Linked DNA regions of Mus musculus. The protein of the gene in region 2 interacts with the protein of the main gene of each other region in a pairwise test. Links are inferred from orthologs where the notes say so. Each region holds a gene or a part of one and is shown on either strand. Other genes may lie near its edges. The genes, in order: Cep57l1, Klc3 and Tsnax.

The links.
Region 1: the proteins of Klc3 (region 2) and Cep57l1 interact in binary tests that used the Homo sapiens proteins (3 or more experiments, as listed by UniProt). The two-hybrid records come from large-scale screens. The link is inferred for Mus musculus from reciprocal best matches to the Homo sapiens genes KLC3 and CEP57L1.
Region 3: the proteins of Klc3 (region 2) and Tsnax interact in binary tests that used the Homo sapiens proteins (3 or more experiments, as listed by UniProt). The two-hybrid records come from large-scale screens. The link is inferred for Mus musculus from reciprocal best matches to the Homo sapiens genes KLC3 and TSNAX.

What each region holds. Positions count from the first base shown.
Region 1 is NC_000076.6:41,720,552-41,722,969, forward strand, and holds part of Cep57l1 (centrosomal protein CEP57L1), read right to left. Parts: coding exon 2,333-2,418; intron 1,151-2,332; coding exon 1,006-1,150; intron 1-1,005. UniProt on the Homo sapiens protein: Centrosomal protein which may be required for microtubule attachment to centrosomes.
Region 2 is NC_000073.6:19,397,583-19,401,236, forward strand, and holds part of Klc3 (kinesin light chain 3), read right to left. Parts: intron 2,340-3,654; exon of another isoform or gene 2,132-2,339; intron 1,968-2,131; coding exon of another isoform or gene 1,960-1,967; coding exon 1,702-1,959; intron 611-1,701; coding exon 380-610; intron 1-379. UniProt on the Homo sapiens protein: Kinesin is a microtubule-associated force-producing protein that may play a role in organelle transport. Plays a role during spermiogenesis in the development of the sperm tail midpiece and in the normal function of spermatozoa.
Region 3 is NC_000074.6:125,011,801-125,015,554, reverse strand, and holds the start of Tsnax (translin-associated protein X), read right to left. Parts: upstream 2,515-3,754; 5' UTR 2,359-2,514; coding exon 2,343-2,358; intron 2,046-2,342; coding exon 1,941-2,045; intron 1-1,940.

The DNA.
Region 1 (2,418 bases), on a different chromosome or scaffold from region 2:
CATCACCCAGCTTCTGCAGCAGTTATTAAGTAACAAATTCATAACTTTCAAATTATAAAATGTATGTGTTTAAGTTTCTTCTATGTGGTTCCAAAAGCAAAACTTGTTCAATCTTTACCAAAACACAATCATATTTTTTTTTTACTTGCTATAGTTTTAAAAGCCAGTAAAATGAAAATATTTTTCTATTCTGACCATAGCATGATAAATACAGTAATATCCTTTGGATATTACTGGTTTTTACAAATCACTGTCTTATAGAAGTCTGCACATGGCAGGTTGATATTCCTGCAGCTTATTGGAATGCTGAACTCCCTAGGCAGAGAGCTGTAAGAAGTATGTGATGTGATGTGAGGTTTCCTAGAAAGACCCCATTCTGCTTCAGCAACTATGGATGGAGTTGTCTCAGAGAGAACGATTATGCTCAGGATTCTTCTGTCAGCATATTAAGGTCATGCTGTTCTTAGTTACTAAAAGACAAGTATGGCATCCTCCTCCAACCTGAGTTCTACTGAGTATAGGTGGCTAGGTACAGGATCCCAGGGAAAACAACACAGCCCAGCTTGTTTCAGGAGGCAGGAGGGAATGGTTTCAGGATTATGTACCAGGTTTCCGTGTGGCACAAAGGACATCATTAGAACCGTAGGGGTGGGGTGGGGAGGGGTGGGGTGGGGTAGAGTGAGGAGGGCTGGGGTGGGGGACCAGAGCAGAGAATGCTGGAAAGGTAACTGGAAGGGTGCTGAAGCAATAGCCTACGCTACAGTTTCCCCACGGCCTGATTCCACAGGAACTCTTTTGTTCTCTCTCATCTCTTGAGAACCTCTGTAGAAGGGCTGTCATTACACACAGTGGTGGCTCTCTGTAAGACACTCAAGTGATTGCTGTGTATCTTTTAGTACACCATGTCTCCATACTTCCAGTTGGAAGGCCATACAGATATGTGACACTGGATGTGTCTGGTGATTATTTGTTGGTTTGTTTGGTAACGGGGAGTGTCCTTCTTACACTGTCTTGATGCTTCTTGAGCTTGGAGATCTGGTCACCTTTGCTTTCCATCTTCTTGGCTAACTGCTCCAGCTCCTGCTCTATGTCCTCAGAGACCGAGTGGTTCCCAGGCTGCATCATCTGTCTCAGGAGCTCTCTGTGCTCCCTACAGAGAAGAGCAAGCAACAAGGCCGGGGTGTAACTCACTCAGAGAGGACATCTGTGCCTGGCAGGTTCTCAGCGCAATACTTAGTAATAGAAATAAATAATAACATCATAAATAAAAACCACAGAAGCAGTAGTGTCTGGCAGGACACATAGATTATACTTGCATGATTAAAAACAGAGCAAACAGCAAGCACTGTTGTAGAAATACTGTTCTCTCTTTGTCACAACTAACTGTCTTGTTTGATTATGAGTGTTAGTTAGGAGCAAAATATTAATCTTCAAAAATAGTTGTCTAACATTAGGATATATAAGTCAATCATGATATGGTAAACGTAGCCAAGCTTTTATCCTTTGAGATTTGATACATTTAGAACTATCATAGTGTCTAGCTGCTCAATAACCTAAAAACAATGTAAATTCTTGGTGCTCTCTCTCAGCAAAGCAGAGCGAACACTTCTACAGTGCTTAGCTAGGGCAACACATGGCTCTTCAGCTCCAAGTCTGCGATTGGAAATACTGTTGCGAGAACCCTTACGTGTGCAGCAACTCTTTATGAGTTCAGTGAGCCTGCCACTTAAAGCACGAAGCTCTGCTACGTTTGTTGAAATGTGGTTAGGCATCAGGCTCAATACAATGACTCCTATGCAGATAGTCCTTACTGAGGGACTTGTCATACACATCAGGACAAACCTAAAATAAGGAATGATATTCTAACCTGCCTAATGAAACCACCCATGTAACTAAAAGATTTTAAATAAAAACTGTATTTTCCTTCTCAAAGCTCATCTCCGTTCTAATCTAAAGTCTTCAGACTCGATATATCCACTTGATTCATAATATTTGCCTATCAGTCTAGATCTCTGGACTATCAAAAATTAGTTCTTAGACACAGTTAAACAGTTAAATACTATAGTAAATACAATGAGAAATAGTAATAATAAGTTTATGGATAGATACAAAGTAAGTCTAAATAGCCAATCAGATTTATAGGTGGGAGCCACAAAGACTGCTGAAGAGTTGAGAAGGTGCCCTGCTCTTGCAGAGGACCAGAGTCACCTACAAACCTCTGTGACCCCAGCCTCAGGGAGCCCAGCCGCTCTGCTGCGCTGGGAGCACCGGCACCATGAGCACATACCCACGTGCACACACAGTTTTATTTTAATAAAGAATGAACACTCACATATTCATTTGGTCCAGCTCCTCTTCCATTGTCATCAAGAGTTCAGACAAACTGTCACAAATGGAAACGGGCTCTCCTGAGCTCTG
Region 2 (3,654 bases):
CATGTAGACTAGGCTAGCATGCCTCTGCCTTCACGGTGCTGGGCTTAAAGGCACGCCACCATGCCTGGCTTCAGGGACTGGTATATTTCTGAGGTAAGAGTCTCACTACGTGGCCCAGGCTGGCCTAGAACTCACAGCATCCTTCATCCTCAGCCACAGTAGCTCTGAGTTTGACAGAGGTGTGGGGTGAGAGCCTTAGAGGTTTCAGTGGGCTGGGGGAAGAATGCTCTAAGGAGCATTCAAGGTACTTTGGGGGCTCAATTAGGTGTGGGGATTGAGGGACTCCATTTGTACTTGAAGGGCTGTACTAAGAGCTCCTGCAGGCACCCAGGAGCTCTGTAGAGGACTGTGCATTCCCTTCTAACCCTGCCCCTGCTACCTGGCTCTCCTCGGGCGGGTCATACTGCCTCAGCTGCCCCAGGAACTGGAGGTGGCTCTTCTCCTCTTCCAGCTGGGCCACAGCCTCCTCGCTGGCCCGCAGTCGCCTCTGTGTCTCCTCCAGCTCCTCTCGAAGCCATGTGTTCTCTTGGGCTAGCCTCCGTGCCTGTGCCCGTAGCCTCTGCTTCTCAGCCTCCAACACACTCACGTGTGCGGACAGGGCCAGCAGCACCTGCGAAGCATTGGGACCCTGAGTAGGAGTGGATTCATCCCAGTCCCAGTCCAGGTTTTACATCAAGCCACATTCTACACAGGTTCCCCCAAATCCTCAACACACCCTACTATGTGGCTCTGATAATTAAGAGTTTCCCAGAAATCCCTAACTTCACCTAAATTATGCATAGGGTTAATTCCTATCCCAACTATGTAGGTCAGCAGCTGCCTAAAATCCATCTGTGAAGAACAGGGGCGTGGCTCAGTGGGAGAGCCCCTGCCTAGAATCCCCCAGTGAGGGGCTGGGGTGTGGCTCAGTGGTAGAGCCCCTGCCTAGAATCCCCCAGTGAGGGGCTGGGGGCGTGGCTCAGTGTTGAGCCCCTGCCTAGAATCCCCCAGTGAGGGGCTGGGGGCGTGGCTCAGTGGTAGAGCCACTGCCTAGAATCCCCCAGTGAGGGGCTGGGGGCGTGGCTCAGGGGTAGAGCCCCTGCCTAGAATCCCCCAGTGAGGGGCTGGGGGTGAGGCTCAGTGGTAGAGCCCCTGCCTAGAATCCCCCAGTGAGGGGCTGGGGGTGAGGCTCAGTGGTAGAGCCCTGCCTAGAATCCCCCAGTGAGGGGCTGGGGGCGTGGCTCAGTGGTAGAGCCCCTGCCTAGAATCCCCCAGTGAGGGGCTGGGGGTGAGGCTCAGTGGTAGAGCCCTGCCTAGAATCCTCCAGTGAGGGGCTGGGGGTGAGGCTCAGTGGTAGAACTCCTGCCTAGAACCCCCCAGAGAGGGGCTGGGGTTAGGCAGGGGCTCCACTTCTGAGCCATGCCCCAGCCCCTCACTGACATTCCATTCATAATGAAAACCCCAAACTCACTCCAGGCCCAGGTTCTACAGGAGAATCCCATTGGTACACACAAAATCTCTCATCCCTAATGCTTCTCAGGGATGCTGTCTCTGGCCTGCAGTCCCTCTTCCTGGGCTTGGCTCCTTCAGACATCCTACCTGGGCCCTCCCCCCCACCCCCGACACACACAGACACACACAGACACACACAGACACACACACACACCATCATCTCTGGTCCTCTTCCCTCCCAGGCTTAAGCGCTCCCGCAGCCCCACATACCTGGGCCTCACCCAGCCCCAGCTCGATGGCCTCCAGCGAGTGGTTCACCACCTGTTGCTTCTCTTCCAGCAGCTCCACACCAGCCACAGGGCCTGGTCCAGCCAGGGCCTCCGCCAGGTGCCCAGCCAGACTATGGTGCTCGGCCCGCAGGGCCTCCAGTCCCTGTACAACCTGTCGTGTCTGCCGCACCAGCTCCTCGGGGTTCAGGCGTTCTGGGCCCAGCCCTGTGCTTCCAGGGGCTGCCACCTGCACAGACATGGCTGCTCCTGGGGGGGTGGGGGGCAGTGAGGTCGAGGGAGTCACCATCTGGGCCACGCAGACTCAGCCTCTCCTCATTCCAGCCATCCCCCTTGTCCGCCCGTCTTGGCTAAGCTCTCTGCCCGATCCCTTTCCATCACAAACAGGCAGCCGTCATCGGGAAACATTCTACCTTTGTAAACCCTGGGGACAGCTCTTAACTGTGATTAGCCAAGAGAACCAACAGCCGGTTCCAGAGCCCCCTCCACCCCGCTGCACTCTGCTCACCTGGTCCAGCCCCCCCACCCAGGTCCCCAGACACCCCAGCACAGAGCTTCCCAGCCTGCTAAGCGCCCTGGGACCGGAGGTGCCACCTCTGCGGGCTGAGGGGCGGAGCGTGTGTGGGGCGGAGCGTGTGGGGGCGGCAGGCTCCCAGTGAGCTCATTCTTAGGGTGTTTTGTCAGGAACCAGTCAGGCCACTGAGGGGGGGGGGGGTGCAGACGGGAGGGATGAGGGATGAAACCCTGAGAGCAGAGAAGCAGACCAAAGGGCTGGAGAAAGGATCGCTGGAGGTGTCTAGAGGGGCCGACAGCTTGTCTAGGGGGCTCTTGATCTTGGCGGGATCCTGACGGACAGGACTCGGGGTCCCGACCACCGCAGCCAGGCTTGATGAGGCCTTGTGTGATGGCCGTGGTTCACGGATGGCAGTGTCCATGTGACACCTGAGCACTGCTGGGGTCTGCCAAATGGGTTTCTGTGTGTTTTTATGTGGGTAACTAAGTAGAGGCTTAGAGGGGTAACCTCACTGATACTACTCTCCTCAGCAAACAGACAAAACTCTCCCATCCTTCCTTCTTCCTTCCTTCCTTCATTATTTTTTTAGACAGAGTCTCACTGTGTAGTTCCAGCTGGCTTGGAATTCACTGAAATCCACCTGTCTCTGCCTTTTGCGTGCTGGGACTAGAGGTAGGTGCACCTCCTAGCCTTTTAAAAAATTAATATTTTCAATTAATTTTTTGAGATCGGGTCTTGTGTGCCCAGACTGGCCTTGACCTTGCTGTACAGTTGAGGAGGGCCTTAAGCAACATGCACCGCCGCGCTCCACTTATGGGGTGCTAGGAATGAACCCGGGTCCTGGACATGCTATGCACACGTAGGATGGGCATTCTAAGCAAGCAGCCTTATCAACTGAGCCCCAGTTCAGGTCCTTCTTAAAGACCCAGCGGCAGGCAGATTCCCATCTTAGACACAGCTCAGCACACACATTCTCTCCTTCCACACACCCGCACCCTCTCCAAGCACACGCATATGTATTGCCTTATTAGAAATACAACACAAGAAAGGAAACAAAGAAGCACGGCACAAATGTACACTCTCATCTTAGAAAGACAAACCACACCACACTCTCTCCTTTTCAGAACACAGGTGTGGTAGCATACACCCATAATTCTGGCACTGGAGGCTGAGGCAGGAGGATCATGGGGCCAGGAGCTATAATCTCTGCTTTTAAAAAGAAATCCTGGGGTCTGGAGAGATGACTCAGAGGTGAAGAGCCCTAGCTGCCCTTGCAGAGGACCCAGCACCCACATGCTGGCTTTCAACCAATTCAAGGTCCGGGGGATCTGACGCCCTCTTCTGGCCTCAGTGGGTATTGCACACACATCATGTACATACCTGCTTGCAGACAAACGCTCATGTACATAAAATAAAAATAAA
Region 3 (3,754 bases), on a different chromosome or scaffold from region 2:
AGTCACCCCCCTCCATGGAAGGCTTAACAAGCAGAACGCAGTGGTCAGGACACTAATTCTCAAAACAGAGTAACTGCACACTATCCTATCCAGGATACACAAAACCACAGAACTTTGGAATCCCTGGGAGTTTTCAGAAACATCTGTAAAGTGTTTTAAAGTGGCACTGGTTTGTAAATAAATACAACAAGCTACCTCACTATCATCTTCACAGTAACACTATCAGATAGGCTAATACAACCCTATCTCAGGAATAACATTGATGATAGTGATGATGGCCTCTGGATTTTGTCTGACATAATAAATTCAAAGTTGGATGAAACAGAGTTCCTAGCCTCAAAGAGACACAGGTATAAATAATGAGTAATTAAATAAAATATAACAATGATATAAATACATAGGAAAGGGCTAAGGGAAAGGTAACATCCCATGAGTGAATGGATGGTGTCTTAGTCAGCGTTTCTATTCCTGCACAAACATCATGACCAAGAAGCAAGTTGGGGAGGAAAGGGTTTATTCAGCTTACACTTCCACACTGCTATTCATCACCAAAGGAAGTCAGAACTGGAACTCAAGCAGGTCAGGAAGCAGGAGCTGATGCAGAGGCCATGAAGGGATGTTACTAACTGGCTTGCTTCCCCTGGCTTGCTCAGCCTGCTTTCTTATAGAACCAAGATTACCAGCCCAGAGATGGTCCCACCCACAAGGGCCCTCCCCTCTTGATCACTAATTGAGAAAATGCCTTATAGCTGGATCTCATGAAGGCATTTCCTCAACTGAAGCTCCTTTCTCTGTGATAACTCCAGCTTGTGTCAAGTTGACACAAAACCAGACAATACAGATGGGAAGTGAATGAAAGTAACCATCGTGTCCAAGGAGTCACTTGAGCTGGGTATCAAAGAGAACATGGTCCACTGGGCTGGTAATGAAAGCACTAAGTCAGAAACAAATCCAAGCTCAAAGAACTATCCACCTATGAGAGAAAGAAACAGGAAAACAGCAAATATGTGGGAAACGACCAGCTTGCTTCATTCAGTATTCAGCCATGTCAATTTTACCTGGTTTCCTCACACTCATGAAGACCACTGTAGGTGCTATGTTCTTTTAAAACTGTCCACATTAGCCGGGAAGAGGGAGGGGGGGGAGTGGCGCACGTCTTTAATCCCAACACTTGGGAGGCAGAGGCAGGTGGATTTCTGAGTTCGAGGTCAGCCTGGTCTACAGAGTGAGTTCTAGGACAGCCAGGGCTACACAGAGAAACCTTGTCTCGAAAAAAAAAACAAAAACAAAAAAGAAAAAAACACAAAAACAAAAACAAAACTGTCCACACATTAGCTGGGACCCTTCTCTTTACAAGGTGCAACCTAATTCTTTCTTCCTAAATATGAAGCAGTTTTTACTTTGCGTTACTTTTAGCAAATGCAAAGTGGCAAACATCTATATCCCAAAGCCCTTGACTATGGTGGCCTATATTAACATTAGTAAACAGTAAAAAGTCCCACATAAAAAGCATTAAATGTTAAATAATATGGAAATATCTGCCACATTCTTACCAACTGTTCTGTATGTAACATCATCTTCACACTTACCATTTACTAGCACATATATTTATATTTAGAGTGTGTTAGATTGGTTACTAGACTGGCAAGACTTATTTTGAGGTAGCACTCTGCATAGAACAGGAACTATTAGTGAATCTCGTACATACATGTACACTGGTATTCTTGTTCTATTAACTTGGTCAAGTTATCCTGATATCGGAATGTTTAGAATACAGATTTTTTTTTTTTCTGGGCAGACCTAGCACCAACACGAAACATTCAGGAAAACTAAGCCTTACATCGGCATGGACTAAAGGCTCCCTAACCGACCCCACACCCGAACACTACGGCGACACGATTGTTACGGTTATGGTTCTAATTCTCCTAATGGAAACTTACATTTGAAGGCCAGCATCACCGGCGAAGACAAACTGGCATCCTTCCCCTCTCTCCTTTGGTTATGTGGGAAGGTGTCATGCTTCCTCTTCCTGAACCCTCCTGGTCCTTAGGCAGAAAAGAAGAGATGGATGGAGCCCTTGCGATGCCGCGCTAGCACAGCCCAGGCTATCCCCTTCGTCCCCCGGTACCCACAGGGCTCGACCTCTCCAGCCACACACAGGTCCCCAAACTCGTGCACTGGTGCAGGGGTCGCACAAAACGCGGCTTGAGACCCCAGGCACCCGGCTGCGCTCTGGGTCGGTCCGCAGGGTCCCCTGGGGGCGTGCGATGGATGGCACGGTGACAGCCGAGCACAGGGGCCAGGCCCTGCCAGCCCCTCCCCTCCACGCGCCGGCCCCGCACCTTCTTTGCCGTTCATGGCCGCGGGGCCTCGGCTTGCACGCGCAGGGATCGCAGCCGCCGGGCCAGCTCAGCGAAAGGCCGTCGCGGGACGCCGCGCTGAGCCCGTGGGTGACAGCGCACACCACCCTGGTCGCAGTAGGCGGCCGCCGGAAGCGGATCCTTCACGCAGCCTCAGCCGGGAGCTGCGTCCGCCGCGGAGTCCCCTCGGCCGCACACACTTCCGGCCCGTGTCCCACACCGCCTGGGCGGGCATGCGGGCGGGCGCGCTCCTGCAGCAGCGCACGTTTCCGGCCGGGCTCCCGGCGCGCTCCCTGTGCTGCACATACTTCCGGTCTGTGTCCCGGCTTCTCCCACGTCCAAGTGCCTACCCGGCGCTCTCTCTCAGTCGCGCATGCTTCCGGTGTGCCAGGTTGTGGTGCAAGCCGTTGAGTGCCTACCTGAGCTGTGTAGTCCTGTCGCGGGCAGCGGCCTCCTGTCCCCTCGCCTCTCTGAGCAGCCTCCTGCGTCCATGCATGCCCTTGGCATGTGCTGGGTGCGTGGCACCTGGAAGTGTCGCAAGGTCTTCGAAGAGAAGCAGCTTTGGAATAGATGGAAAGTTTGGTCACATTGTCAAGCCCTAAGGCTGTTGTTTGAGCACATGCTACCTCACCTAGCTAGTACCATTCCTTTGAGGCTTCCAGCAGCCCATTAGAGACCATGCTCAATTAAGATTACTTATTGAACAAAGCCCAACATCTTGAGTCAAGTTCAGCCATGTGCATGTTACAGACATTTTAGTCACACAGTCTGTTCTTGTTAACTTAGGAACAGACACACTTATGGAAATGATATACGTAGAATTAGCCAGTGAAGTCAAGGCCACAACAGCATCACAGGAGGGTCTCCCAGCTCAAAAATCAGGCCATAAGCTGTCACCATTGAATCAGCAAAAAGCTAGATGGTTTGGGCAGAGTCCTGCATGAAAAGGCTGTGGGGGAACAACAATGGATGAATGTTGGACACATAACCATCTTGAATTTCTGTGACTTCTGAGCCCACATTCACCAGTTGTCTTAGCGTTTGTATTCCTGCACAAAACATGACCAATAAGTTGGGGAGGAAAGGGTTTATTCAGCTTATACTTCCACATCGTTATTCATGCCAAAGGAAATCAGGACAGGGACTCACACAGGAAGGAACTTGGAGGCAGGAGCTGATGTAGAGGCCATGGAGGGGTGTTTCTTACTGGCTTGCTTCCTCTGACTTGCTAAGCCTGCTTTCTTATAGAACCCAGGACCACTAGCCCAGGGATGGCACCACCCACAATGGGCTGGGCCCTCCCCCCTTGATCACTAGTTGAGAAAATGTCTTACAGCTGGATCTCATGGAGGCATTTCCTCAAGGGAGGCTCCTTTCTCTGTGATAACTCCAGC